4 linked regions of the Diceros bicornis minor genome follow. The protein of the gene in region 4 purifies or fractionates together with the protein of the main gene of each other region. This does not show direct contact. Links are inferred from orthologs where the notes say so. Each region holds a gene or a part of one and is shown on either strand. Other genes may lie near its edges. The genes, in order: ARPC1A, ARPC3, ARPC2 and ARPC5L.

The links.
Region 1: the proteins of ARPC5L (region 4) and ARPC1A fractionate together in Homo sapiens (co-fractionation; 7 studies listed by BioGRID and IntAct, with this or other methods). This does not show direct contact. The link is inferred for Diceros bicornis minor from reciprocal best matches to the Homo sapiens genes ARPC5L and ARPC1A.
Region 2: the proteins of ARPC5L (region 4) and ARPC3 purify together in Homo sapiens (affinity purification with mass spectrometry; 7 studies listed by BioGRID and IntAct, counting the BioPlex papers as one, with this or other methods). This does not show direct contact. The link is inferred for Diceros bicornis minor from reciprocal best matches to the Homo sapiens genes ARPC5L and ARPC3.
Region 3: the proteins of ARPC5L (region 4) and ARPC2 fractionate together in Homo sapiens (co-fractionation; 7 studies listed by BioGRID and IntAct, with this or other methods). This does not show direct contact. The link is inferred for Diceros bicornis minor from reciprocal best matches to the Homo sapiens genes ARPC5L and ARPC2.

What each region holds. Positions count from the first base shown.
Region 1 is NC_080765.1:7,346,710-7,354,006, forward strand, and holds the start of ARPC1A (actin-related protein 2/3 complex subunit 1A), read right to left. Parts: upstream 3,010-7,297; 5' UTR 2,920-3,009; intron 1-2,919. UniProt on the Homo sapiens protein: Probably functions as a component of the Arp2/3 complex which is involved in regulation of actin polymerization and together with an activating nucleation-promoting factor (NPF) mediates the formation of branched actin networks.
Region 2 is NC_080774.1:8,970,422-8,978,240, forward strand, and holds the start of ARPC3 (actin-related protein 2/3 complex subunit 3), read right to left. Parts: upstream 3,009-7,819; 5' UTR 2,917-3,008; coding exon 2,911-2,916; intron 725-2,910; coding exon 625-724; intron 1-624. Other genes in the region: GPN3 (GPN-loop GTPase 3), read right to left, coding at 5,776-5,838, 6,413-6,541, 7,080-7,176, 7,289-7,404. UniProt on the Homo sapiens protein: Component of the Arp2/3 complex, a multiprotein complex that mediates actin polymerization upon stimulation by nucleation-promoting factor (NPF).
Region 3 is NC_080776.1:8,672,334-8,679,939, reverse strand, and holds the start of ARPC2 (actin-related protein 2/3 complex subunit 2), read right to left. Parts: upstream 3,001-7,606; 5' UTR 2,906-3,000; intron 2,694-2,905; 5' UTR 2,686-2,693; coding exon 2,612-2,685; intron 1-2,611. UniProt on the Homo sapiens protein: Actin-binding component of the Arp2/3 complex, a multiprotein complex that mediates actin polymerization upon stimulation by nucleation-promoting factor (NPF).
Region 4 is NC_080767.1:33,364,363-33,371,792, forward strand, and holds the start of ARPC5L (actin-related protein 2/3 complex subunit 5-like protein), read left to right. Parts: upstream 1-4,423; 5' UTR 4,424-4,497; coding exon 4,498-4,652; intron 4,653-7,430. Other genes in the region: RPL35 (large ribosomal subunit protein uL29), read right to left, coding at 1-72, 482-484. UniProt on the Homo sapiens protein: May function as component of the Arp2/3 complex which is involved in regulation of actin polymerization and together with an activating nucleation-promoting factor (NPF) mediates the formation of branched actin networks.

The sequences.
Region 1 (7,297 bases), on a different chromosome or scaffold from region 4:
TCACATTCTATTCTAAGAGTGAAGTTACTTAGGTCATTAATTTTTTACTTTTACGTGTTCTAGAATGCAAATTGCAACTCAAAAATAAAGAAAAAGCCTCTCATTGGAAATTTAAAAAAAACTTTAAATGAATTCAAATGAGACTGCTTAATTTGTTTTTTAAAAAATAAGCTTCCTGATGCTACCGTATCATAATTCTCTCTTTATCCCTGATATCAGATGCTTACCTACCACAACAGGTTTTACTCATAGTTCCTCAAAATAACATGTTGTGTAACAGATAGCTCCTTAAGTAAAAGCAATTTAGTTCAAAAGCCACATTTTATAGGTTCATTTGCTAACTGAAACAAAATTGGCCTGCAAATTAATAATTTAATGTGAATATCTGCATGCAATAAAAGCACATATTTCATGTGCTGCAGACAAAGGCTTTCTCACTCTTCAACTCAGTTTTATAAGCAATATAGCAAAGACTTCAAAAGAGGTAAACATTTACACAATGGCATAATTACTTCTAAAATTGCATTTCTAATTTTGTTATACCATTCAAGTTCTATATTTGGACATACACTCAGACTTACACTTCTTTTATAATCATGTGGCTATTCTGAGTCTGTAGACCAAGACAACATTCACGTTTGTCAAATTTATAGGGCGCCCAGTACACACAGACTGTATTCATCAAACTCAGTGAAAGCAAAAGAATAATAGCAGCTTGAATTTTGTACCAAGAAAAGATGCCTTCTGTCGTAGGGTGATAATTATAATTTCTAAGCTGTGATTAATATTTAAGTGGAATCTGAAAACCTTTGTCTTAATGAAGGTAGAGAAGAAAAAAAAGGACAGACAAAAAGGTAGTGACGTGAAATTTAACAATCTTCTATTGATGACCTTTTATTGTCTAGCACTGACAGAGATAATGATTTATAGCACAGTATGACCCCTGGAACACTGCCACCCCCCACCTCCTTTCTTTACCTATCACTTTGAGTACAGAGTCATTCTGATGTTTGGTTAGCCATGGGTTCTGAAGCCAAGGGGACGTGGGTTTGAATCTTGACTTTGACACATACTACCTATGAGACCCCAGGCAGGTCACTCAGTACCTCTAAATCTCGTTTCATCATCTGTAAAATGGACATATCACTGACATCCGAAAGCTGTAGGGAGGAGGATTAAATGAGATAACAAGCGAAAGCATGTAGCACAAAGCCTAGCCCAAAATAGATGCTCAAGAAGTTAGTTCCCTTTCTTCATCTGACCCCAGGCTTTTGAACTATCCCTGGAAGTACACATCAGTTAGCATCCTCCAAACACGGAAACATCCACATATGCTTTAAATTCTTGGCCCTGGTGCTTGAAAGTATTTGTACAGTGGGAATTTCAGTTTTCAAGACGTGATTCACCCAGTTTCTAATTGCTCTCACTACCCAACCCAGCAATACCAGGTACTCCAACAAGGTCACCACACCCTCCACAACGTCCAGAGACAGATTCCAATTCCAGGCACCAGCCTCACCAGCAGACCATTTTAAACTTCTTTATGCAGAATTTGTTTCAGCACAGGTTAGTCAACTAGATCAAAACACTGCCACTCTCCCTCCAAGCAGGAGTTTTAATTTTCCAAGATGATCCCTTCTTTTAATCGTCATAAGTAAATGAATTAACCTTGGAAGTTCTCCGAATACTTTGTTGTAGGAAGCAGCTTTACACCCTCTCCCAAATAGCCTAAAAACACCTTCCTGACTGATAGAGTCTCTGTTTTTTTGATACCTGAAAAACCCAGGGCCTACGTGAAAACAAGAGGTTAGATAAAATTAACAAAAGAGAGCAGAACTAGGATAGTTTAGGTAACTTAGGCAATGAGTTGAGGTAGGTGAAAATCGGTTAGCATTTCCTTCAGGTTCCAAAGCTGCAGTATGAGAACACATGGCTTTATAATCAAAGATCTAAGCAGTGTAGTAAGTATTGGGTTGGGGCCAGAAACATAAATAAATCTGACACTTTTCTGGTCCTTAAGTCTGGAAGAAGAGTGTAGGGGAGGAAGGGACGAGAGACATGCATAGAATGCCCAGAAGCAGTAATAATAGCTAATACTTATTGAGCACCTACTCTGGACTAGGAACTCTTCTAAGCAATTTATGCAAATAAACTCACTTGATCCTCAGAAAAGCCCTAAGAATCTTCTTACTGCAGATGAGGAAACAGGGATTCAGAGAAGCAATCTTCCCAGGGTCACCCAACCAAGTGGTGGTGCCAGGATTGTAACTGCCGCAGTGGGACGGGAGGGCTGGAATGTGCAAGGTGCCATATAAAAGGTTCCTTAGAGACAAGGAGCGAGGAGGAGCGAATATGTGCAATTCTGACTTAAGGGAAGGAGGCACCGGAGCGGGGGAATCTTAAAGAACTCGGGGGAAGGTTTTTCTCGAGTTCGGGAGGGTCCACCCGGCAGCTGAAGGATTGGGGGCTGCCCCAGACAGGAGCCAAACATTCCACGGGCGACGACTGTGTGCAGGGACCTCTCCTAGACGCTAAAAAAAGGAATGAACGGTCCCTCGTGACGCTCGATAGAGGGCAGAGGATCCCATTTACCACAATTTTACAGATTGTGATAAATGCCCACAATAGAGATGCAAATAGGGCAATAGAAGCGCAGCAGGAGTCGTTAATTCTGGCACGGGAGGAGGCTTGGAGCTTGAAAATCTTGGGAGAAGCGATCCCTCAAGGGGATCCCAGGGGCTCGCCAGGCCCCACGGAGAACACGGATCCCCGCCCCTCCGGGAGGCCGGGCAAGGAGACCCGGCCCGCCCCTCAGCCTCGGGCCCCGCGGCCTAAACCCCCGCCTTCCCGCCCCCGCGGGGTCGAGGCCGGGGCAGTGGAGGCCAGCAGAGCCAGAAGCTCGCCCCTGTTGCCCCTTACCTGGGGTCGGGGCAGTCCGGACGGGCTCGGAGCGGAGAATTCGCGGACTCTGGTCAGTCGACGCGAACAGGCTCCGGCGGGCGCGGGCGGAGGACCGAGGCTCAGAGGGAGCGGCTGACAGATCCCGGAAATGGCCACGGCGCCTGCGCAGCGCGGCGGCGCGGGCGGTCCGCGCACGCGCACTGATCGGTCGTGCGGCAGGGGTCCCGAGCGGGTGCGGCGGGTCAGGGTCGGGCCTGTGAGCGGCCGCGGTGGCCTTTCTGAAGCGGTGTCGTAAAACGGCTGGGGAATGGTGACGAGACAGCGTGAACGTCTTACTCCGGTCCTCGAAAAATTTCCTCAGACTGGCGGAGCGAAGTGTGGAGCCTTGGCGCTTTCGCGAGTGCTTTTGTCGGGAAATGAATTACTGAGAATTGAGAATTACTATATGACGCATTTCGCGCCACACGAACCCGACGAACGACTACGTGTTTCCCCCTTCAGAGACACCCCCGTCAGAGCCAGTCTCCTGTGCAAAGCCCTCTCCGAGGAACTTTCGCGACCCTTCCTCAGTCACTTGTTTCCTGCTCCCAAGATAGCGCCACAGGACAGAGGAATTGGGAGAATTCAGCATCTCCCCCCAAACACGTGAAGACAGCTTCCTGTGCAGATGCGGCTTCAAGGAAATGCTCTGAACCCCACTTGCGGCTAGACCTGTCGCCCTTCAAGGAAATGCTCTGAACCCCACTTGCGGCTAGACCTGCCGCCCTTGAACCCACAGAAATTCTGGAGCAGCACTCCTGTCCTCGGGGCCACAGCAGGTCGCCCACCAAGTGTCTGTATGGTTCCCTGTGGTGGTTTACAAGTTTGACCCCAATGCTTGGCTGTAAGGTGATGTTCACAGAAGTGAACGTGTCAAATTCCAAGTGTCAGAGCCTCACTATGTTCTCTGGGGCTGGTTAATCCTCTTGTTCGGGAGCACGCATGCACTGGAAGTAATTGGTTTTGCTTTGTCCCGTGGCTACAAAGTCTTTGGTCCCAGGGACATCGAGGACACATTGAGAGAGCAGAAAGAGCATTTTAAATTAATTACCCCCTCTCAGAGACAGCACCTTGGCAAAGGAAGGACAGCATGCGTGGAAGCAGGGATTCCTCGTGTGTCTGCAAGTTACATGAGCCAATCCGGAAGTGTGCAGAGTTGGTACCCAGAGTAAAAATACCAACAGTGTTTTATTTAGATCCCACCTCTTTGCAAGGGACAGTGCAGTTCCTTCTTTGAAGGAATTTGTAATCTGGGTAGATGAGAATAACACATACAAATTAATAATACCAGACTCTTTATGATAAATGACAAGAAAAGAAATAACTTAGTCCAGGAGAAGTAACAGTAAAACATTTAATATTAATCTCCGGTTCTACCTTTTGAGTTAGTATTTTGTATTTTAGCCTAAACAAAGCTTACCCTTGGATGCATTTCATCTTTTATGAGTCATTCCAGATGGTAAAATTTTATTTCTAAAGGGGCTTGTTAGGTGAAACCATCTTATTCTGTAACTGAGGAAACAGGGCCAGAGGATTTTGAGATTTCATAAAAGTTTTGATGTAAGTCACTGGCAGTCCAGAGCCTCTGTCCTGGTACCTAGTCCAGAGCATTTCCCATTATCCCATCATGCCCTGGTATAAGAGCCATTAGAGAAGGAGAGTGAGTTATTTTTAGTGTTTGTTTTTCAGACTTGTGTAATGACACTGACAGTATCCACAATGAGGACTCTGCCTTTTAAAAAATAGTTGCAGGGACGGGGCCGGCCCGGTGGCGCAAGCGGTTAAGTGCGCGCGCTCCGCTGCGGCGGCCCGGGGTCCGCTGGTTCGGATCCCGGGCGCGCACCGACGCACTGCTTGGTAAGCCATGCTGTGGCGGCGTCCCATATAAAGTGGAGGAAGATGGGCACAGATGTTAGCCCAGGGCCGTCTTCCTCAGCAAAAAAAGAGGACGATTGGCGGATGTTAGCACAGGGCTGATCTCCTCACAAAAAAAAAAAAAAAAAAAAAAAAATAGTTGCAGGGAAGGTGGTACTTAGAAATGGGAAATGGGAGGAAGTGAGGGGTTGGACACTGAGGGGTATGCCATGGGATGGTTTTGTTTGCTTTATTGACTCAGTTGGAATTGGCGTAGGATTGAATTGCAATTTGGTCAAGCTTCAAGTCATTAAATATTTACTGAGTACTCACCAAATGCAAAGTATTGTTTTAAGCATTTCGTGCAATGTACAGAAGAGTTGAGTAAGATCTCTCTGTCCTCAGGGAACTTAAGAGTGGGATAAAACCAGTTCACCGATAGTTTTAAATAGAAGGAAATACACAATCCCTGGAACCTGGAAGGTCCTAGTTAGTGTTTGTTGAATGAAACTATGAATGAATGAAATAAACAGTCTGGGATTTCAGAGAACACAGAGATCACCACCAGTTGTGAATGGGAGCCGGGGCTTGTTGAGACACATCAGGAATATCACCAGTTATAGATCGGAAAGATTACATGTTTACCAAGGTCTGAGGATTTCCTTATGCTCAAGAGAGCTTTGATTTAGTATCTGGAATGTGGGTTTGGAGAGTAAGAAGATTGTTTCTTGCTTGTGCCACCAGCCAAACAACAGTGAACACTTAATGCTGATCTGCCTCCATTTCTGTCTCTTACCTGGGTCAGTGCCTGCCACCTACTCACCACAGAGACTGTTGGAAATATTATTGAATCAATGCCTGTAAAAGCTGTATGTAAGCAAAAGGGTAAAAACAGAAGCGCATGCTCTGTGTTAATACTTAACAATGCTTATGATTTAGATATTGTCTATTTGCTGGGTATCGTCCCGAGGAGGGAAAGTTTCCCATAGAAAAGATCTTGTACAGTTCAGTGCAGAGGGACTGAAAAATGCATGTGGATTTTTCCACTCTAGGTTGCTCACCTAGTTCATTTCCATAGTGCAGGGATGGGACCAGTTTATGGGGTATCTAGGGGCATGAGGTAGTCCAGATGGTATATAAATAGCATTCTATCACAAATACTATACTTACAAGACAAGCACATAAGCATACTTATGAATACCAGGTATTGTTTTTCTAATTTGATAAGTGAAATCTGTAGTCCACAGGCCTGTAAATCTCCTGGAGGCCAGAGCCAGTTCTTCCACAGTTTGTTTCTAACACTTTTCCCGTGTTGTTATGCAATCTTAGATTATTTTAATAAAAAGGTAGTATGATGGAGTGCTTAAGAGAGTTCATTGACTTTGGAAGTAAACAGAACTGGGTTCAAATTCTGTCGCGGCAGCTTATCAGCTATATGCCTTGGGACAAGTCAATCAGCTTCTCTAAGTTTATTGGCAAATGAGGATAATAATTCCCACCCCTTAGGGTTGTTCTAAGGATTAAAATAGACAATGTATATAAAGTACTTGACAGTTCTTGGCACATTAAAAGCACTTAAATTGTGGCAATTATTATTTGAAAATATTGTACCAAGTTGATTCTCATAATTTACTATTTCTCAGTTGTTTTTTTCCCAGTCTGTGGCTTCTCTTCGTTCATTCTCTTAATGTCTTTCAAAGAGCAGAAGTTCTTAATTTTGAGAAAGTCCATTTATTAGGTGTAATGTCTGAGAAATCTTTGCCTAGTCCAAGGTTATATAGATTTTCTGCTATTTTTTTCCAGAAGTTTTATAGTTTTAACATTGATTGATTTTAGAGTGTTAAACTAAACTTGCATTGTTGGGAAAAGTGCTCCTTGGTCCTGATGTATTATTCTTTTTATACTTACTATATTTAGTTGCTAAAATTTTGTTAAGAATTTAACAATTTAAAATCTTTGTGGGCTGGCCCTGTGGCTTAGCGGTTAAGTGCGCGTGCTCCGCTACTGGCGGCCTGGGTTCGGATCCCAGGCCCGCCCCGACGCACCGCTTCTCTGGCCATGCTGAGGCCACGTCCCACATACAGCAACTAGAAGGATGTGCAACTATGACACAACTATCTACTGGGGCTTTGGGGGGAAAAAAGGAAGAGGATTGGCAATAGATGTTAGCTCAGAGCCGATCTTCCTCAGCAAAAAGAGGAGGATTAGCATGGATATTAGCTCAGGGCTGATCTTCCTCACAAAAAAAAAAAAAATCTTTGCTTATGAAGGATATTGTTTTGTAGTTTACTTTTCTTGTAATTTCTAGTTTTGGTATCAGAGTAATTGTGGCCTCATAAAATGGGTTCAGAAGTATTTCTTTTTCTTCAGTTTTCTGGAAGAGTTTGTATAGAATTGGCTTTTCTCAATTTCTAAACATGAGAGTTTTAAGTTATATTTTTGTTAATGATTTCTACCTTAATTGCATAATTTCTAGCTTCATTACTGATTTTTTTTTGCTTAC
Region 2 (7,819 bases), on a different chromosome or scaffold from region 4:
ATGACAGAGAAAGGACAGGGACACGGCATTTTACAGATGTAGCAGTGTTAGATTAGTTTGAAAGAACTCACAGATGATAGGAACAGTGTCACGACTGAAGCATTTTTTTCCCCCTCGATAGAATACCCTGGAGAAATGAGCAGCAATAATACAGTTTCCTACTAAATGCAACATATACCCATGATCTTGAAAGGTCTAGAAAGCAATATCCACCAAGCAAATAGAAAACACAAGAGCGGGTCCAGCCCCGTGGCTTAGTGGTTAAGTGCTCGAGCTCCGCTGCTGGCAGCCCGGGTTTGGATCCCAGGCACGCACCGAGGCACCGCTTGTGAGGCCATGCTGTGGCGATGTCCCATATAAAGTGGAGGAAGATTGCTACGGATGTTAGCTCAGGGTGAGTCTTCCTCAGCAAAAAAAAAAAAAAAAAAAGAAGAAAGAAAGAAAGAAAAAGAGGTGGATTGGCATGGATATTAGCTCAGGGCTGATCTTCCTCACAAAAAAAAAAAAAAAAAGAAAACACAAGAGCAATCTGAGGCACAGGACTTCCCCAATTGGGTAATATCAGAGCATTGCTAGATGTTTCATACCAAAATCTGAAAATAATGGAAAGGGGTTTCAACTTACTCTCTCTAGGGGCAGGTCCTTTGAACTGACTTCTGATGGGCAACAGGGCCATGTTTCCAATGAGTTTGGTGTCGGGGTCCATGAGAGAAGAGTGGTAAGCCTGTGGTGGCAAGCCAGGTAAGAACAGAGAAGCAGAGAGCAACGTCAGCAGAGCAGACAAGAACATTTCCTCAAAGGAAAAAAAGAGCAACCCACCCAAGATTAACCAGGGGAGGGGGCAGAGGGATAGTGGCATCGACGTGCTGGAGCTGGCTCTTACTGGCTCATGAAAACTGACTGCTAAATTTTGAGAAATTTTGAGCCAAGTTGGTTGTTGAACACAGCCATTATTAAAAATTAAATTATATAAATTTGCAGTTAAAAAATAGTATTAAAAACAAAGGTAATGAATACTCAAAATTCACTACTTGTTATTTTTAAAAGTTGTTTCACTATTGTCTATGATCTTAAGGTTATTTATGTCTTTGTATCTTTATGGTGGAAATACTATATAATGGGATGTGACTGGGCATCTCTTCCCGTTCTATGTTCAGTAACATCACATTGGTACCTGGTGGGAGTATCTACACTACAGAAGTAGGCAAACACTATATTAATCAGGGGTACCCACGCCCTAGCTGCTATTAAGCCAGAACCCAAGCAGTGGCTTTTCAGGTCTGCCACTTCCTGGCTTGGTCTTTGACCAAGACATCACTTTTCTTCTCAGCCTGTTTCTAAATTTGTAAAATGAAGAGACAGATACTGCCTTCAGAGAGCAGGTGTGAGTTAAAGAAGGAGAAAAAAAATCACATTAACGAGAGCAATTTGTAGGCTGATTCGTAGTTCCGCTTTTTACACAATGTCTGGCTTTTTGTAAGGCAACATGGGCCCCATTCATATATTTATTCATTCACCAAACGATTACTAAGCACCTTCTACATCCAAGGCACCATGATATAATGGGATGCAAGACCAGTATGGTTTCCACTCTTGAAGAACTTTCAGGCTCATGAAAAAGACAAATATTAAATAAGCAATCACAAGGGAAGTCCAGGGTGCTCTACATGCAACTGGAATAAGCACCGGGCTTTAGAGTCCCCGGCTTATAACCCGTTTTGGGCGCAACCTCAGGCACGTTACTTAACTTCTCTGAACCTCAGTTTCCTCCTCTGCAAAATGAGAAAACAACAACATATCTACTTCCTAGGGTTACTGTGAGGATTAAATGGGATAATTTATATGAAGTGTGCAGCTCAGGGCCTGCCTGGCACACATCAGGAGTCAAATGGTAGCTATGGGATTCATAAAATACACATTTGTAACTATGGCTTGCTCCTTTTCATCACAGGTCTGCTTCACCTAAAGCAGCCGCCACCCTCCCCTTCAGCAGCTGCTGTCTTGTTACCCATCTGGTATTTCCTTCATAGCATTTGTCACTGTCTGAAACCATCTCCTTCATTTTCTTTACGTTTACGTGTTTATTGTCTGTCCCCTCATTAGAATGTAAACTCCTTCAGAGGAGCTATTTGTTGGCCTTATGCTCTGCTGTAACAGTGCTTGGTATGCAGCAGGTGCTCAGTAATGTTTGTTGTATGAATAGTCACGTTTTTGAAGCTTCTTCCTAATCTGCAAAATGGAGACCATGACGGTGATAAATCTACCCCAGAGGCTGGCTGTCAGAAATTAAGAGCAATCAGACCACCATCAATTTTACTCCCGATGCACAAGAAAACAGAAACATCTGGAAACCAGGCGCGGACCCGAGTCTGCTCTGGGGCCCTAAACCCAGCAGCTCAGGGGTGGCCGCCACTGCCGGGGCGACAGGGGAGGAGCCGGGGAAGCGGGGTCTGGCAGACGACAGGCAGCGGGAGGGACCCGCCCCCTGGGGCGGAGGAGGAAGTGGGCCTGCAGGCGAAAAGGAGAAGCCGGACCCCGGACTTGAAAAATGAAAAATAAAAGCGCAGCCCTTGGCTTCGCGGCGCTAGTGAGGCTTTGGGGACCCTGCCGGAGTCGGGGTGCAGAAAGGGGGAGAGAAGGGATCGGGACTGGGGAGAAGGGGGTGCAAAGGACCGGGGCAGCCTCCTCCGCACGCCCCTGGTCTCTGGCCCTCTCTGCCGCGCCCCCGCCCCCACGGCCGACGCCCCGGGCGCCCCAACTCCAAGGGACCGGCCCCTGCCCTCGCTCTCTCCTCCTCAGGCCCCTGCTTCCCCGCCGCCCTCCTCGGCCCGCTTGTCTCAGCGCACGCACCATTCCTCGCCGCTCTCCCCAGTTCTCGCCGCCTCCCCACACCCCGACCGGCCCCCTTACCGGCATCTCGGCGGCGCCCGGGTTTCAAGCCAGACAAGGAAGACAGGTTAGAGCGCGGCGCTTCCGGTCTGGCGGCCCGGGCGGGGTAGGCGGAAGTGAGCCGGAAGGGGAGGGCGAGGGGAGGACGCGGCGCTTCCGGGCTTGCTGTCGCGCCGCTGGCTGCTGCGGCTGCGCGGATCCGGAGGGGCGCCAGGGGGCGCCCGAGCACTAGGCAGGGACCGCGTGTCGCGCATGCGTGAGGCGTGTGCGCAGTGGGGATGGGTTTGGGAGTTACAGAATCCCAGTGATTAATCACCTCGTTTGTTTTCTTCAAAGATCAGCTTTTCAGTGAAGCATTCCCTGCGTCACACTATTTTAAATTCAACCCCACTCCACCCCCTTGCCTCACCCTTCTTTCCCTTAGTTCTTATGGTTCTTTTATTATCTAGTTTACTTTTGGTGTTTGTCTCCGTCTCCCCATCCATATGAGCGTAAAAAAGGCAGGGATTTTGTCCGTTTTGTTCACTGCTGTATCTCCCGCGCCTGTAACAGTGATGGTACATAGTAAGCACCAATAAACACTTATTGAGTGAGTGAACGAACCCAACCCATTGGTTTTAACAACGGGGAAACGAGCACAGGGAAGAAGGGGTTTGTGCGTTACTCCGCACTGCAATTCTTTGCAATGGGGCAGTACTGTAATGGTTGAGCAAGTGGACTCTGGGTTTGAATCTCAGCTCTAATACTTGCTAGCTGTGTAATTTGGGGCAAGTTAATTAACCTCTCTGTGCCTCAGTTTCCTTACCTGAGAATGGAGATAACAGTACTTACCTCAGTTTTGTGATGATGAAACGAATTGCATGTAAAGTGCTTAGAACTTAAATGCCTGGAAGATACTGAAAGCTCAGGCGTTTTTAAGCGCACGGCCCCACTGAGGCACAGAGAGGTTACTAGAAATCACCTCATGTTACAAGCCAAGTTCATTGCTGCTTCGGGCCATTTCTTCTGCCAGTCCCTCAGACTGGAATATTTTGCCCCATGTTCCCACAACTGATTTCTCATTTAGGGCTCTGGCCAAATAGTACCTTTTAGGAGGCTTCTTTGACAACAAGCCCAAAGTAATCCCTTAGTCACTCCCCAGTTCATTACTGTTTTCTGTTCTTCCCATTCCTTATCAGGTTTCCTTGTTTGTGGTTAGTCTCAAGAGCCCAGCACCTCAGCTCCATGAGAGGGGCCTTGCTGCTCTGAGTGCTCCTATTTTATCCTCAGTGCCTGGTTCCCACCAGTAAATTTGTCTGAAGAATCACGTCAGGTTCTCCTACAAGACAGGGAAATCCTTGAAGATTGGAACTGTCATATTCATTCTGAAACCCCAGTGTTCAGAGGGGAAGGAAATGGAATTTGGCCTTTCACTTCTTGCCCAGAGGGACAAACCAGACTCTCCAGAAGCTAAACCAGGGAGGTACAGCTCCAGGAGCAATGAGGAGGGTGAATGAAAAGTTGCCTTTTCTTTCTTCCCCTCTCATGTGACAATAAAATTTCTAAAAAGTAGCAACATGAGGAGCTCAGGGTGTTTTCACACTTTCTACACACTAAAGGCCACAGGAAAAGTCCCCAGGCAGGACAGCACATCCCCAGGTTGCCCACTCATCACGTGCTCCCGATTGCCCCTGTGAGAAGACTCACATTAAGGCACCCTGGTGCAAATACCTGACTCTTGCCCCGAGCCTGGGCTCCAGGCACAACTTACCCCTGATGGCTGACTCCTCACAATTTTGCCTTTGATTAAAATGGATCCAATGTGACACTGCAGGTGTACTTCTGCTATCTAGGCCCAAGAATGATTAAAAATTTAACCTGAGTTGCAGCTTTTCTATAAGGGATTAATTTGTATCAGCTGGAAGATCCAGTGCCAAATGAGTAATGGAGCCTGGGCCTGCTATGAGGATTAAATGAACCAGATTATGTAAAACACTTCTTAGCACAATGCCTGGCAGAACTCGATAAATGAGATTCCGCTTTGCTTTAGTAGGGCCTGGCCTACAGTGGGTGCCAGAGAAATACCTGTTGATTGACCAGTCATTCCTCATGCTTTCCACCCAACCCAAATGAACTCAGAAATACCGAAAATAAACAATTCAATGTGCAGGAAGTTAAAAAGAAAAAATTACGTCTTTTATATTTTTGTGTGCATCTGTTATTATTCAAGGAAAGTATAAATGTTTAAATGCTCAGAGACTACAAACATTTTAAAAGAAATCACTGCCTACATTTTGACGCTTGGGGAAATTGACTCATTCAAAAATTTGTCCTGGCTGAGTATTTTAAATTCTGACTGGAAAACAAGAGTGTAATGAAAAGTTAGTGCTATCTTTCTATTTCTTTTATTTATATACATTTATATCTTAAAACATAGTTACTTTTCAGTTCTTAATTATACAAATAATACATTTTCAATGTAGGAAACTGGAAGATACAGATAAGCAATGATCTTATCTATATTCTTCTGGATTTTTTCCTTTGGACACACATATGTATATTTGTTACAATAACTTCTGCCCCTCCAAAAAACCTTCAAAAATAACAAATGATAAAAATAAAGGTAGAGTGGTCTTAACTGTACCACAGGGACTAATTTATATTATATACAAATCTATGTGCATTCATTTCAATTTCGACTTTTAAAATCTAAATTGCTGCTGTTAAACAGCAGCAGTTTCAGAATAACTCAGAACTTGATTCAGGCATGCTGCTGATAAAAAGCCAAGTATTATTTTTTTCATTAAAATAAGCAGCTTTCTAGTATTGCATCCTTTGAAGACAAGAATATTCTGCTGGTTCAGTCACAAGCTCTTCATATATATATAGTCACTTTTAATAAACTCTTCATTCATTCTGGTGTTCTTGAAAATATTCATCAAACATAGAAGAAGACTCATCTTCATGTTCCTGACACAAAGGAAACACAAAATAGAAAATATATCATTTCCCCTCAGTTAGACCAAGTGTGTGCTGACATTTTCCAGGTCATGCTCTACCAGGAGCTAACGCCCAGCAGCAGTTCCACGTGTCGTCTATAGTGACAAAAGGCATGACTGACAGTATTTTTCCAGATATGTGGTAAACTCAAGCGCTACATCTCATTAGAAGCGTATCTTACTCGAGCTTACACTCACGCCAATTCTCAGCTAATCTGCTGTGACAGCGCCCTACTGACAACTATCCCTGGTCTTTCCACTGACATATGTGAAGGCAGCCCAAGTTCAACTGGATTTCACTTCCTCTTTGCACACACCCCCGAGCTGTGAGGACAAAGAAAACTCAATAATATTGCCTTGATAACAGGTAGGGTACAACTGACACTGCTTGTTGAGCCCAGGTGTCAATTTCAGAGATCACCCAGAAAAGCCAAGGTTACTGCTGCCACTAAGACAAAAATTAATTTAAAGAGTTGCTGGGATTATGCAGGAGGCCAGTGAGCGCTGGCAAACATTTTTACCGAAAGCCAATAATCAAAAATTACCTTTGGTTCTCTGAATTCTAAGTCTTCTCCATACTGAATGGCAAAATCAATATGCTGTAATACAATGTTCATGCTTTCTTCATCTGACTGATCGTAAGGCAAAAATCGAACCATGCTGTAGTCATCAATCTACAAGTTGGGGATTTCAGAAAGGGTCATTCTGAAGTTGTACAAAATATTTAATTTTCAATCTATAGTTGAGTTTATAACCATTTATACTTCTGATTAAAAACATTTCTGTGGGAGGGAAGGGGGAGGAGGGGTAGATAGAGACAGAATAACAGCAAATCATCCTTGATTTTTCTGATCTCCGACCTACTAGAACATTCTTTAACTTATTACATAACTAGACATTGTTTCATAGGTATTTATCTATGAAAATATAATACACATATATATAATATCTGTGAAATAATTTCTAGGTATTCAATAACCACTGGATACTTTACAAGGGCACAGATAGTTCTGAATTCTCAAAATGGCTTGGAATAAGAGACATGTCAGTTAATTTATTAGCTACTGCCAATAACTACTTCTAAATTAAACTACTGACCAGCCAGCCCACAGCCTACCACCATCCTCCTCTCCTTTGCAAGGAAATGGGACTGGATTGTGCTTTTCCAACCTGACCAGGTCTTTTAAAAAAAGAAAAACTTAAAAAGCTTACCAGTCCACATACAGCTTTAGTCAATTTTTTGAATTTTTTGCTTCTTAAGTCACTTGTAGAATCTTCTAATAAAGAATACATATCTGGATCCAGAAACCTTTAAAAGTGAGATGAATAAAAGGAAGAATAATCAAGAAATTAGATTTATAGACTGATAGAACCTCACATCCCTGTAGTTGAGATCTGATGATAACAAAAGAAGAACTCACTTCTCTATTTCCTTTTTTGCTTTCTTACTCAGCAGATCCATTTTCGTCATGATGTTAACTTGTGGAATTTCTAGAGAGATCATAGCACTCAGGGCTGCCAAGATGCCAGAAATAAACTGAAGGAGGAAACAGAAAAGAGAAGATAAATCAACTGTTGCCAACAAAGCTCCCTGGTCCCCACATAAAAGAGAGGCTTCTGCTCTCACTGGGACAAAACTGGCCTAACTAAAAAAAATGTTAATCCTGAAGAAAAGACAGGCCACTCATCAGATGGTTGTCTCATGATTTCCAAAGGTGAGGATAAGGAAGGAAGAGGTAGATTTAATCTACGGTGGTCACAAATCTCAATTTAGACAATACCTTTTTTTTTTTTTTGTGAGGAAGATCAGCCCTGAGCTAACATCCATGCTAATCCTCCTCTTTTTGCTGAGGAAGACCGGCTCTGTGCTAACATCTATTGCCAATCCTCCTCCTTTTTTTTTCCCCCCCAAAGCCCCAGTAGTTAGTTGTATGTCATAGTTGCACATCCTG
Region 3 (7,606 bases), on a different chromosome or scaffold from region 4:
ACTCTCCAAATACGGCAGCTACTAGCACATGTGGCAACTGGGCACTAGAACTGTGGCTAGTGTGACTGAGGAACCTAATTTTACTTCACTTTAATTAATTCTTATTTCAACTTAACTAGCCACATGTAGCCACTGGCTATCATACTGGACTTTGCAGAGTTGGAAGACTCACTCTGCAAAAGGCTGCTCGGATCCATAACTTCCCCAATTGCTTTGCTCTGAGAAATGTAGGGCTGGGTGGAGCTGACTCCTCCCAGCAGGTCCCCACACAGGCAGAGCCTTTCAGATCTCCAGGGTTTCTCCTCCAAGCTACTCTTACTTGAATGTCTTTTTCTGATCTCTACCCCAACACATCTCATCCCTTATCTCCCCTCTAACTTTGCCAATAGGCTCGCTCAGGAAGCCCCTCTTTTTCTGTTCCTGCCTGGTGCTGAGCACTGGCAGAATCCCATAAATGTTGATGATTATCATACTAGTTATCCTTTGCTGGAAGTTCTGGCGTAGGTATGTGCCTTGATAAATACTTAACTACTTCACTGCTGCCTCACCTTACTTAATGGATGCCTGGAAAGTCACACTGGGCTTGGAAGAAGGCTTCTGCGGGTGTTATATTTGCAATCCCAAGAAAGCCCTACCTCCTAGGCTGGCTATCATGGTCTCTTTTCAAAGATTTTCAAAGTGCTTTTCAGCAGAATATGTTCTGAGCCCACTTATTTAAAGTCACATCTCAAAGGGAAGATGGGCCAGAATAAAAGCCAAAGCTTGCTGCCCTGCCCCCACAGCCAACATTGCTGTAACACAGAGCTTGTAAGAAATGTCCTAGAAGTTCTAATGTATGCCTTCCAGACTTGAGTGCCTACTTTAATTCCTCTGAAATGGTTAGTTGCTCTTTTTAAGAGTAATCTTCTAAAAGGAAAAGAGCTGAAGTTCTAAATAAGGGGCGACACTTTGGAATCACAAGTTATTAATACACAGATGTGAACATACTCCTCAAACCAGGCATGCTTCTCCTTGAAAACGCACAGGCATTTATCTCGTAGATCAGCTTATAACCACTCGGGTCTCATTCTTTGCTAGTCTGGACTTGAGAATGCACTTAACATCAGCTGTGAAAATGCAGAAGTTAATTTAACTTCCTCCTGTGTGCTACACTGCTCAAAAAAGTACACGGCAATCACCCAAAATAAGACTCTGAGCTGATTCGCTCGAACATTTAAAATGTAAAGGAACTGGGAAGCGAGGCTGAAGACGGACGAGAAGCAAGTTAGCCTAAAATATAAGCGAGTGCAGCCCCTGGCAGGAAACAGTAGCTACTGCTCACTGCATGCAATGCTTCAAGGAAAGTCCTGCTTTGTTTTAGATACAATCTGTGGCCTCATAAAAGAGACAGGAGATACAATATGCTCAATTCAAGCAGTGGGTTAGAAGTATTTTTTTTTTAAATGCCTCCAAGCCACAAGTTCATTATGACCACTTAGAATTTCCCCTCCACCGATCCTCTCCCATTGGTGGATCTCCAAGCACTTCCTTTCCTGTTCTTAGTTTCCAGCTCACCAGAAACAGTTCACACTTATTTCCCCAACTGTGCAACCAAGATGTGAAGCCCCATCCTCACAGAGGGGGAAATGAGGCAAAGGAACCGGCTGCAGGCCACCAAAAATCAGAAGCTAAAACCAATTCCTCGGCTCACGTTTTAAATATTATATTAGAAACGCAAAGCAGCTCTAGAGGAGGAGGTTGGCTTTTATTCATTCTTGTGTTTGACAGAGAAGGCTGCCTTGGAAATATGTCTTAGGCCAACAGTAAAAAATGGTTATCTAAGAACTTTATAGACTTTGCAGGTTTTTAAGTGTATACCTGGGCCCGGACTACCACGGAAGAAATCACAGAGCAGGGGTCCAGTATAAGAATTTAAAAGATAACCAGATAAAGGCCAATGGGTGGGGAGAGGAGAATTAGAACCTCAGAACAGAGATAAGGAAGGGGTGTGGATGGGGAGACCACTAGCTCTGCGTGAGAAATATGTAACAAAATGGCTAGTGTGCCTCTCACGGGAGGGCTCAGGGAAGGGAAAGGGGAGAGATCGCGTCTTTCTCGCTGCAAGACCGGGTCTGCTTTCAGTCTTCCCTCCCGCTCCTGGAGACGAGGAGGTGGGGGTGGGGAGCAAGGAGGCCGGTGGTGACCTGGGCCTGCATCTTCCGCCCTCCTCCAGGCCTGGGCATTCCTGAAAACTCCTTCCACCCCAATCCCAAACGGGCTCCCTTCGGGATCAGAACAATGCCGGGGAACAGAGAGGACAGCGGGCTCCTCCAGCGAGGGTGCCGGCCCCAGATGCCCTCGCGTCCCACAGGTCTCCGGCCCTCCTTCAGCACGCGCACTCCTGTCCACTCCCCGCTTCCGCATCCCCGCTCCGAGCCTCGCCCCGTGCATCTCTGCCCCTCACCCCACCGCGCCCCATCGCCTCCCACGTCTACTCCGCCGGGGCAGTGCCCGCACGCGGCCGGGCCCCCTGTCCCTCTCCGCCAAGTGTGGGGGCGGCACGACACTGGGCGGCAGCAGCGGGGGTCAGCTCTACCTCCTCCGCCACCCACCGCCCCGGGCGCGCGCTCACCCGGCGGCCGCGTTCTCGAACTTGAGCGCGAGCGTCTCCTCGATGATGCGGTTGTTCACCTCCAGCAGGATCATGGCGGCGGCTGCCCCGGGCAGGGGAAGGAGAAACAAGGGCAGGTGAGGGTGGGGAAGGGGGGAAGGACGGAGGGAGCGCCCCGCTGGCCCCTGAGGAGGGGCTGGGTGGGGTGAGAGGTTAGGGGAGAAGGGGACAGGGACCGGGGTGGGAGGAAGGGGAGGACGCGCGCGCTGGCCCGCGCACGCCCTGACTGTGGAGACACCCACCCACCCGACCGACCTGGCCCCCGAAGCCTGAACCCGCCTGCCGAGCCGCCGCCGCCGCCGCTGCCGCCTCACCGACAAGCCCGGTCCCCGCCCAGCCCCCGGCTCCAGCCGGCCACTTCCGCTCTCACACCCACTTCCGCTCGCCGCCCGGACGCGCGGCCCCGCGGCGCCATTTCCGCTCCGACCCCTCGTGCACGCGCACGCAGGCGCGCCAAGGGGGCACGGAGGCTGCGCTTGCGCATGCGCGGTGCCGCCACCTCGCCTCCACTTTCCCACAGACCCCCTGACGTCCTGCGCTTGCAAGTGTGCCTGTCCGGCGAGCGTCCTTCCCCAGGGCCTGCCTCACTGTCCAGCGCCTCCCTCCCGCTCGTCCCAGAGGTCCAGCTTCACCCTTCCGGCCTTGCCATTTCAGAGACCCCCGCTCTTGTCATCGCCCAGCCGGCTTCTTTGCTCTCAGCTTGTTGGTTGTGGGTGTGCCCGTGCCTCTTGCCACACTAGTGGCTGTCCGGCGGCACCGTCACGCCCTCATTTCTCCAAAAAATATGTAGTGGGCTCCTGCTCTGTGCTGAGGATACAGTGGTGCATGAAATAGACGAGGCCCTGCCCTCGTGGAGCTTATAGTCTGGTAAAGGAAACTGACCACAAACTCGCAAGTAGTAACTACAAATTGTTAAAAGGGCAGTGACGGGAAGGAGCGAGAAGTCACCTAGGTGAAGGGGCCTGCGGGGTTCCTGTCGTGCCTCCATTTCTGAGCCTGGGGAGCTGCCTCTAGATGCCCCGAACGTGATGTCTCTGCTTTTGAAACCCTTCCAGGACCTCTGCCAGAGACGTACCTTCTTCCTCAACTGCGTGCAGAATCTGAACTCGTTTTTGTGCTACATTCGCACCTTCTGCCTGTGTGTCTTGTGATACTGGCCATGGATAAGCTTCAAGACATTGCAGATCCCCCGAAATTATACGCTAACATTTTAACATTATTGTTTACTGAACTAAAGTAACGCGGATACGTAGTTTAAAAATACATGTACTAAAAGGCTTGTAGTGAAAAAAGCAGGTCCCTGGCCTTAGAGGCAATGTCCTCAACTCTTTTACGTATTCATCCGGATTAGATCCATATATCTAAATAAATGCTTATACTACTAATTCTTGATTTGTTAATTTTAAGGATTATCTGTTGACTTCCTGCTGTAATAGATAAGAACATGACTCTATCAGCTGTGGAATTGGTGCATTTTACAAGGTTGAAATCATGGCAGGTCCAGAAACTGATGCCCAATTCCATTTCACTGGTATCAAAAAATATTTCAACTCTTATACTCTCACAGGTAGAATGAATTGTGTACTGGCCACATAGGGAAGCATTGCTTTCAGGGTCTTATACTTCAGGTTAAGGTCTAAAAAATCTTCAGCTGTGAAAGCGACATAAATGGATTCTAAACTGTACCTTGTCTGTTAAGTTTCCATGCCTGAGAAGCTAATGTCAACTCATCATGTGATACTCCATTTATACAATAAATTATGAACCTAGGAAAAAAAAAAAAAAGAGAACATGACTATCCCTTCTGTTTCTTGCCTCCACATAGTTATGTAACAGTTTTTGGTTAAACCAATAATCAGCGTTTAAATTATTATGTATGCAAGTATTGTTTACCAGTGAGCCAAGAAGTGCACCACAACCATGCCTTCTAGCTTATACAGCTGTTCATTTTTCTTAGAGTTAATTATTGCCTTTTTTCTCTCACTTGTCAATTTTCTATATTTTCCTACAGTTGGCTGCCTCCTACCCCACAGGTGCTCTAAGACTGTCCAAGACTCTAGCAATATTTTCCATATACCCAAATACACAAGTTCCACTTTTTCTCTAGAGTCTTTGTTCCAGAGCCTTCCTTCCTCTTGTTTCAATCTGGATTGACTGTGCTCTAGACTTACTGTATGGTTGTCATTCTGGGATTTTCCTTTGTTGCTGTTCTAGGCTGTTTTTGCCCATTTCCTGGATCCCATGTCTTCCTCTTTCTTGATTTTCTTCCTTGTTTTGCTAAAGCACCTCCTCTAGTAACTTCCTAAGAAGGGAGATAGAAGATATGTTGTTGAAAGCTTTATATATTTTAAAATATCTGAATTCTATTCTAACACTTGATTTGTAGTTGGGCTGGTTATTGAATTCAAGTTTGAAAATAATTTTGCCTCATAATTTTGAAGATATTATTCCATTTTCTTCTACCTTTCAGGGTTGCTGTTTAAAAAGTCTAACTCTTATTCATATTCCTGATCCTTTGTATGTTACATCATCTCCATCTCTGGAAGTGTTAGGATTTTCTCTTTATTTTCTCTTTAGATTGTTTGTTGGAAATTTTATAATGATGTGCTTTGCTGTGACTCAACTTTTTTGTACTGAGCACTCGTTCAAAGTGGAAACTCATGTACTTCAGTTTTGTGGAAAATTTTCTTTGATTTTTTTTTGATAACTTCTCCATTTTCTTTCTTCTCTTTCTGGAATGCCTATTCTTTAAAAGTTAGATTTCTAGATCGATCCTTTAATTTTCCCTTCTACTTTCTGTTTCTTTGGGGTTTTTGGTTATTTTATTTTTAATTGTGGTAAAATATACATAACATAGAATCGGTCATCTTAACCATTTTGTAGTGTACAATTCAGTAGCATCAAGTATATTCATGCTGTTGTGCAACCAATCTTCAACCATTTGAAGTTTCAGTTTCTTGAAGACCTTTTTCTCCCCAGCTGAATCCTCCCCATATTATTCTATCCTTGTTTTATATATCTTCTCTCTGAGGATGGTATAGTGTGTTTGTTTTTAGTTTTTCTTCTGCTCTCTGCTTTGATCTGTTTCTTTGAGTCCTTTTTTATACTAATTTGTTTTGGTCTCTCTCTTTTATGTTAATGGCCATCCTTAAACGTCTGGCTACTTTAGCAGTCTGCTCGTATTTAAAGATGAGACTGTAACAAGCTGAGTGGAGGCTGAGTGTGGGCGAGATGAGTTGACTAGCGTCTTGCTACTCGAAAGGGACCAGCAGCACTGGCTTCATTTGGGAGCTTTTTGGAAATGCAGAATCTCAGGCCCCACTATAAACCACAGATTTAGAACCTGCAGTTCAACAAGCTTACCAGGTGATTCAAATGCACGTTATGTTCGGAGAAGGGCTGGATTAGTGGGCTGCACTATAACAGGCACCAATGATGTGCCAGACTTCATTGGGGGCCCACAGATGTCAATATTCGGAGGTCTTTTCTCCAGGGACAAACCCTCTGGTTGTGTTTGCAGCTTGTAAGCTTGGCTGTGAGTGTTCCCAGAGTGTGTGGGGGCGGGCAAGAATGCTTTGAGTGCCTGCTGACTTCTACTGAATCCCGTTATCAGCCCTCTGCCTCCCCACTGCCTTCCACTGGCTGGAGTCTATAGAAAATGACTCTCCCGTGGTGGAGATGGAGGAAGGGGTAGAAACGGGATGGGTCTGGTGAGAAAGAGGATAATCACTCGACTGCTTGGGGACCTAGAACACCAAAGGCTTTTTATGCAGATTTTTACCCAATCTTCCCATTTTCTTCATCTTGCTTTTGGTTTATTTAAACTCATGACTAACAGAACAACGATCTTTGTACCCACCACCCAGCTTTCTTGAATCTTAACATTTTATAATTAAACTTTCTTCAGAGCTTTTTGAAAAAGAAACGCAGTTGAAACTTCCTGTGAACCTCACCCAATTCCATTCTTTCTCTCCTTCCTTCCCCTCCTCAGCAAAGGCAACCATCACCCTGCATTTGGTGTTTATCCTTCCCACGCATGTTTTTACACTTTTGCTACATATGCATGTACCCATAAACAATGTATAGCATATTTTGTATGATTTTAAGCTTTTTGTTAATAGTATCATACTCTATTATCTCCTTTTGAAACTTGTTTCTTTTAATCAACAATATGTTTTTGAGATTTACCCATGTTGTTACATGTAGCTATTTTAACTGTGATGTAGCATTCCAATATATGATTATACATTATGATTATTAATATATTTATCCATTCTCCTGTTGAAGGACACTAAAGTTCTTTTCCCATGTTTTTGCCATTACAAGCAAAACTTTGTAATAGCAAAATGTACAGGTGTGAAGGTTTTTTTAGGGTATGTTCCTAGGAGTTTCCTGTGTACAGGTGTGAAGGTTTTTTTAGGGTATGTTCCTAAGAATGTAACTGCTGAGATGTGGGCTATAGACACTTTCAAATTTGCTAGACGTTGCAAAATTGCTCTCCAAAGTAGTTGTACCAATTTATACTTCCACTAGCAATGTATAAGTGTTCTCATTGTTCCCTGTCCTTGCTAGCACTTGGCATTGTCAGACTTTGAAATGGATGGATATGAAAAAATATCTGAGGGGCTGGCTTGGTGGCAGAGTGGTTAAGTTCATGCGCTCTGCTTTGGTGGCCTGGAGTTCACAGGTTTGGATCCCGGGCTCGGACCTACACACCGCTTGTCAAGGCATGCTGTGGCGGGCGTCCCACATAAAGTAGAGGAAGATGGGCACGGATGTTAGCCCAGGGCCAACCAATCTTCCTCAGCAAAAAGAAAAGGATTGGCAACAAATGTTAGCTTGGGGCTAATCTTCCTCACACACAAAAAAAATCTGATTGTTTTTAAAATAAGAATTAGCCAGGTAGATACAGAGGCATGTATGAAGGCGTAGAAGCAAGAGAACACGACATCTTGC
Region 4 (7,430 bases):
CTTCAGGTCGTCCAGCTGCTTCAGCAGCTCTTCCTTCTTCTTGCCGCGAAGGTCTCGAGCCTTAATCTTGGCCTGCGCGCAGGAAAGGGACCGGGTCAGACACCTCGCGGGCCGCCCTCCGCTGCGCCCGCGTCGTGGCCAGGCCAGCGGGGCGCGCGCCTCGCCCTGGGCCACGAGCGCGCTGGGGGCCCAGCATCCCCGCTAAGCCGTGCCTTGAGTAGGGCCACCGAGGCCCCGGTATCCCCGCTCGCCCAGGCCTACCACGAGGCTGGGCCGCCACCCCATTCCGCAGAGGGGAAGACGGAGGCACCGGGAGCGCGCACCCCTCCTGGCCCAGGCCGGCTGTGGCGGCGCCAGGCCATTCCGCAAAGCGCCCCACAGGCCCGGCCAGCAGATGGGACCCTAGGGCTCACCCCGCGCCCCCGACCCCAGCCCCTGAGCCCGACAGCGCGCGGATGGCGTCCGATTCCCCAGCTCTCACCATGGCTACACAAGCCGCCGCCGCCGCCGCCGCCGCCGCCTGCTCCGAGGGAAAGAGGAAGGGGGCGGGGCCGACCTCCGCAACTACTGCCGGGTGGCGGCGGGCGCAGCCAATGGCGCCGCGGCGGGGGAGCTCCGGCTCCGCCCTTGCCACGCCCCCACCCCCGCCGCCGGCAGCACCGTGGTACCGCCCGTCTGGCCCCGCCGCGAGGATACCGAGCCCGTCCGTAGCGCCCGCCTCTTCCTCCTGCACCTGAGATGACTTAGATCGGCCTCACGCCCTGAGCAGCGCACTTGGGGAAACCGAGCCCCGGGGTGAACGGCAGCTTTCCGGAGATGGCACAGTGAGGACTCGGATTCGTCCATTCAGTCATTTATTCGTTCATCCATTCATTCGTTCATTCCGTAAACCTTTGCAGGTCGCCCAGTCCGTGCTGCTCTGAGCTGGGCGCCGGTGTTCTGGGGAATCAAGGGGATGAAAGTTTTCAAAGATGAATTAACACGGCCCCTGCCTTGGAGCAATTTAAAGTCCGAGGTGGGCGGGGAGGGGCGGGGTCAGACAGCTATAATCCAACTCTTTAAACGTTCTGGTGGAGGCGGCAAGTGGCAGCGAAGGAGCATTCTTGGCCTTTTTTTAGTGAACCCGACCGGGTTTCAAAGTCTTGCTCTGTTGCCGGGTACAACTGAGACTCGGCAAAACCCCTCCTCTCTCGAGTCTCAGTTTTCTCACCTGTGAGATGGGGTATTGATGAGGATTACGGAGATAACATGTAAAACTCTTAGCACAAGACCTGAGGCATAACAATGCTCAAAATATCATCAGTTACAATGTTCCCACTGGAATGAACGCTTGAGTTGTGCCCTGAGAGTTAAAGGCAAATTCATGAAGCAGGGAAGGTGCTCAGGCTTTCTGACTGGGCGGTTTCATTGTTGCCCCAACGGGCAAGCATGAATCCATGCTCTAGTGTCACTCCATTAGCAAAGACATGCCAACACCTTTTAGAGCTCTAGTTAAAGCCAGGTTGTCCCCTTGTTGGTGTCGGGTGTCACCTCCTCCAGGGAGCCTTCTCCCATCCCCAACATATGGGATTCTGTTAATGGACCTTAGTCTTGGACTAAATTGAGAAACGACCTCCCTTTGTGTCCCAAGCTTTCTGTGCAACCCTCTCTTTAGCCCCAAACATACTGAATTAAAATGATGTTTATGTGTCTGTTTCCATAGCCAGCCTAGAAGTTCCCTGGGGGCAGAACTATGGCTGACATCTGATTTGGTTTTTCCTTTTTTTTTTTTTTTTGTGAGGAAGATCAGCCCTGAGCTAACATTCATGCCAATCCTCCCCTTTTTGCTGAGGAAGACTGGCCCTGGGCTAACATCCATGCCCATCTTCCTCCACTTTATATGGGACGGCACCACAGCATGGCCTGACAAGCAGTGCATCAGTGCGCGCCTGGGATCCGAACCCGGGCTGCCAGCAGCAAAGCGCCGGCACCCAACCTCTATGCCACAGGGCCGGCCCTGATTTGGTTTTTCTAGTCTCTAGGCCCAGCACATGGAGGCTTCTTGGATGAATGAATTAATGAGCGTTGCCCCAGACACAGTGAGGCAGGCTTCCAGGAAGTGGAGGGATATGGGAAAGAGAGGGCAGACAGAGGGTATTGACATGGATTATTAGTCTTAAATGGAACTTGAATGGTGCACAGGGACTCTGCTGTCCTATCTTCCAAATGCTTATAATTCTATTAGAGCTAATGATCGTGTAAGTCTTTTCTGAACTTGAAGTCATCTGTGACTCCCGTTTCTCTTACAGGCCACATTCAATCCACCAGCACATTTGGCAGCCTCTACCTTCACAATATACCCGACCTCTTCCCACCACTCTTTGTTGTTTTTTATTGTATTTTATTTTTTGGTGAGGAAGATTGTCTCTGAGCTAACACCTGTGGCAGTCTTCCTCTATTTTTTGTATGTGGGATGGCGCGACAGCATGGCTTCACGAGCACTGTGTAGGTCCACGCCCAGGATTTGAACCCCGGGCTGCCGAAGTGGAGCGTGAAACTTAACCAGTATGCCACTGGGCCGGCCCCTTCCCACCACTCTTATTGGCACCTGCCTGGCCTGAGCTAACAGGCCTGACACCATTGTGTCACCTCTTAAATCACCTATTTTGGCTCTGGTTCGCATACGTGTTCTCAGCACAGCTGCTAGCAGGACCCTTTTCAAACTTAAGTCAGATCATGTCACTGCTCTGCCCATAATTTCCAGGGCTGTCCCATTTGAGTTAAGACCACATCCTTTCCTCAGCCTACCAAGCCCTACAGCATTCCCTCCAGCCCCCACTTCTATCTCAACTCTTCTCTCTCTTCTGCACCAGTAAGGCCTTGCTTTTTCTGGAATACACCAAGCCTGCCCTGCTTCTGGGCCTTTGCTTGGCTCCCTCCTTCACTTCCTTCAGGTCCCTGATCAATGTCACCTCCTCAGGGACACCTCTCTTGACCACTTTAGCTAAGGTACACCCAGGCTCTGCATGGTTTTTTTCCCTCAGCATGCAGTCATCCTTGTCATAGTATAGTTTGGATTTTTAGAATTCTGCCTCTGACTGGAATGGAAGTCCATGGTGATAAGCAGGGACATTATTTCATTCACCAGTTTATTTGGGGGCTATTTCTTTATTTGTAAAATGGGCTTTGCTGGTTTAAAGTTCCTTCTGGCCAGGATGTTCTCGGGATATGAATTTCTGCTGTCTTGTGGCCTGCCTGGGTCACAAAGATTTCTTCCAAGGTATGGAGCTGAAAGACAGGTGGGCCTTGTCTATTTTCAGGACCCCCTGAGACTTTAATTCAGCACCTATTTCCCCCTGTAGGAGTCTGTATCTTTAGCACCCAAGATTAGGTAGCATCATAGTCTGGCAATATTTTTGACCTGTAGACAGTTCAATGAGAAGTATTCGAAGCAATAAGAATGAATCACATTTCATTAACTACCGGCCTTTATTAAAAAGAGTACTATTATATGAAAACAAAGACTCAATTTAGTCGAAGGCTAAGGACCATTAACAGAACCCCTCAAGCAACAGCCCAGGCACCTAATGGTGGCAGTAGAGTCGCCTTTGACTCTGCCCTACCTCCCCCCACCTCCATCTTGCCCCATCTCAGACTCAGGGGATTCGGCTTCCTACCAGGATATGCCTCTCCAGCCTGGCCCGACGTCAGCCCCAAGGACCTCGTCCTTCCTGCCAGGATGGTGGCCAGAGTCATCTCCCTCTTCCCGCCGCCCACCCGCCCGGCCAAGGTGTCTGCTACACGCCGCACCCTCAAGTCCAAATGTCTTCATAGTCTTGTCAGCACCCTGGATACCCTTTAAACGTCTATAAAGTCTCCCAGTCCGTTAACAACAGGGTCTCTGTGTACAAGGCAGAGGCTGCCTCCTCGGAGCTCAGTGTAGTGGCGTTCAAGGCTCCCAAGATCCAGACCAGGCTCCCCCACCCCCGTCACTCCTCGGGGACTAAGAACTACTACTCATCCCTCAGGCCTCAGCTCGAAGGTTTCTTCTCCAAGAAGCCTGCCCGGCACTCGACACGTAGGGCCGGCCGCCTTCTCCTGGGCCCCCGGCCCCTCAGGCTGGGCAGTGAGGCCCCCGGAGTCCGCGGCCGTGCCCGCGCCGGCCCTTCCAGGGGCTCCTTGGACGCAGGAAGGAAACCGAAGAACGAGCGCAGTTACGGCGCCTACGATGCTGGCTGGGGCCCTCTCCTCGGATGGGAAGAGGGGAGTGCAGCAGGCTACTTCTCCAGCCCCTCCAGTCGCTCCGGAGGCGCCCCCACAGGCCCCGCCCCTCCGTCCCACCGGCACTTCCGGTTCCGGCGTGGGCCGGAAGTGGGCGGGCACGGCGGCTGCGCGCGGAGGAGGAGGAGGCGGTGCCGGCGGCCGCTTCCCGCCCCCGAGCCGGAGCCGGTGCTGAGCAGAGCCGAGCCGAGGTCCGGCCCGGAGCGGAGCCGGCTGAGCGGGCGCCGAGCCCCCGCCATGGCCCGGAACACGCTGTCCTCGCGCTTCCGTCGGGTGGACATCGACGAGTTCGACGAGAACAAATTCGTGGACGAGCACGAGGAGGCGGCGGCGGCGGCGGCGGCGGCCGAGCCAGGCCCGGACCCGAGCGAGGTGGACGGGCTCCTGCGGCAATATCCTTCCCCGGCGCGGCGGCCTGGGCTCCCCTGTGGCCCGGCCTTCCCACTTCCCTCCTTCCCGGCTCCGGTCCCGTGGGCCGGCCTCCCCACTCCTCTTACCCCGGCCCGCTCAGCTCGGTCTCCCAGCTCCCTTCCCATCGGGCTCCCCTCTGGCCAGCTCCCCTCAGTCCGGGTGTCCCCTCTTCCCCCTGACCCGGCCTCCCCCTACCTCGTCCCTGGCCCCGGCCCCCAGAGCCTCCCTCAGCAGCGCAGCCCCATGCGGCCCCTAGACCCTGGTGACCGGCCCGCTCGGCGGCCCCGGGAGCGTGCCGGACGGCCTCGGCCCCGCACTCCTCCAGGCCTCTTCTCTGTTCTCTTTCTTGCTTCTTCATCCTCTCAGGCTGTCCCTTCTTTGGGGGCCCCGTCACTCCATCCCTCGCTTGCAGGAAATGGGGGCATTCTCGGGCTTGATCGGCGGGAGGGGCCGAGGTGAGCCACCGCTGAGTAATTGAGCGGCCGGGGCGGCTCCAGGGCAGCCCTCTCGCGCTGGATTGCAGCACCACACGAAGATGGGTGGGTGGATGGGGAAAGGACCCAAGGGGGAGCGCAACCTGCAGCGTTAGTCCAGCCCTGAGGTCTGAGCCTGTGCTCCTCCCACCCCAGAATCAAACTGACCCTCCAGCTTGATGCCACTCTTTGTCGCCCATTCTTGGGCTTTGGACCTTCATGGTCTCATCCACGTTCAACAAGTGAGTTTTGGCTCCCTTCCCCCTGCTACCTTTCTTGTGCAGGAAGCAGTGGAAAAAACTAGTAGTTTAGAGCTAAGAAAAACCAGAGTCAAGTAAAATGTAAAAGTAGAGCCCCACGCCTGCAAATGACCTTTCTTGTGGCCACAGAAAACAGCGTTTAGAAAACAAGATTAAAAATAGAGGTGGTTGTCACAGCCTGCTTGGTCCCTTAGCAGTTTGAGCACAGGAAACTGACTTATTCTCACAGGAAGGATTTTTCTTGATTCAAATGGTGTTACAGGAAGCGCCCACCCCTCCCCCGCGCTCACCAGGGCAGGGTTGGAGGCTCCTGCTGTATATAAAGCAGGTTCTGGGTGTTTAATCAGTTGACTCAGCTTGGGAAGGCAGGCCCAGAGACTGGCTTTGGGAGGAGTCCTGCAGTGTTCTTCCAATTTACCTTTAAAACAAAAACCTTCTGACTTTCTTTCTTTGAACAGGAATGTGTTGTCAAAGGTGGGGATTCAAACTTGTATTTCCTACCCCATCAGGATCACCTTGCTTACCCCACTGGCGAAATGGGGTCATGAGAAGGGCCCCCACGAGAGAAGGTTGGTTTTGCAGTCTGGTGCAGGACCTGGCTCGTGGGCAGGCAGTGCCAAATGGGCTCCAAGTTCAGGCCTGTGGCCCAGAACCATCCGCAGATGGGGAGAACAAGGTCTGGTTACCTGCTGGCTTGGTCCTGGTGCTGTAGGGACTTGAAGGTCATCTCTTGGTACGCCCCTGACTAGTGATAGTCAGGTTCCTTGAGGCTGCTTAGCACATCCAGTAGATGGTAGTTTCTCCACTAATGGCAGTGTCAGAAACCTTGTTACCATGGAGAGTGTACCTCCTGGGATTGGGGAAAGGGAGGTTAGCACGTGAGAACTGAAATTCTGGCAAATGTGGGGCCTGGGGAGGAAGAACTAATACTTACTGAGTCCCTACCACGTGGTATTGGACTCACATTAGATCGTTGAATTTAAACTATGGAACAGACTTCTAGGAGTCTCAGGACAGAGGCAAGGGAAGTAGGGATAGGGGGTGGTTGATTGGAGTAGGGGAAGGTAGGGAGGAGGTCTGTCCTAGTGCTGTATAGGGAAGCAAGTCCTGGTGGGAGATCACACAGAAGCAATAGAAAGAACATGGGCCATGCATCCACACAGACCCAACTCTATCAGGCTCTAGCTGTGTGACCTTGAGTAGGTCACATACCCTCTCTGAACCTTAGCATCCTCCTCTGTTAAAAGGAGGAGAACCATGCTGGACTTCGAGGTTCCATGGGAGCATCGCTGGGCAAAATCCCAGAAGGCTTCTGCACAGTGCTGGGCACACAGCAAGTGCCTGGACGTGCAGCTTGCGTCTGTGGGTGGAGCGGCAGCAGGGCTTGTAGGAGGAGCTTGGTTTTTGGAGTCAGGCATATTTGGGTTGAAGGCCAGCTGGACAGCTTAGCTTTGTGACCTTGGGCAGGTCATTTCCCTTCTCTGGGCCTCAAATTCATTGCCTTTAAAATGAGAATAATGATTCTTGTCGCAGAGTTGTTAGCAGTAATGAAGTAACACATCAGAGCACCTGGCACAGGATCTGAGATCTGGTAGGGATTTTAAAGTATTAGTTCCTTTTCTTTGCTGAAGCACCTTCTGGTGCTCTGGAGCAGCGATCTGTCCAGAGCAGTGGTTTGAGTGATCTTGCGGAACTTGGTGCTACTGGGATCTAATGGGTAGAGGCCAGGGATGCTGCTAAATATTGTATGTTGCACAGGACAGACCCCACATCATTCATCTGGTCTGAAATGTCACTAGTGCCGTGGTTGAGAACCCCTGATTTGGAGGAGACTAGGGGCTGGGCAGGGTTCCCCAGCCTCCACAGCCTGTTCTCTGGAAGGGCCTAAAGCCAGCTGAGTACAGAGGCCAGCTTGATAAATGGTGTGCCCTCCTGCTCCCCAGCTCTCCTGGGCTGCTGAACGCCCTTCCCCATCTGCACCTGCAGTGAATGCTGGGTACCTGGTGCCAGAGAGAGGTCACTAAAG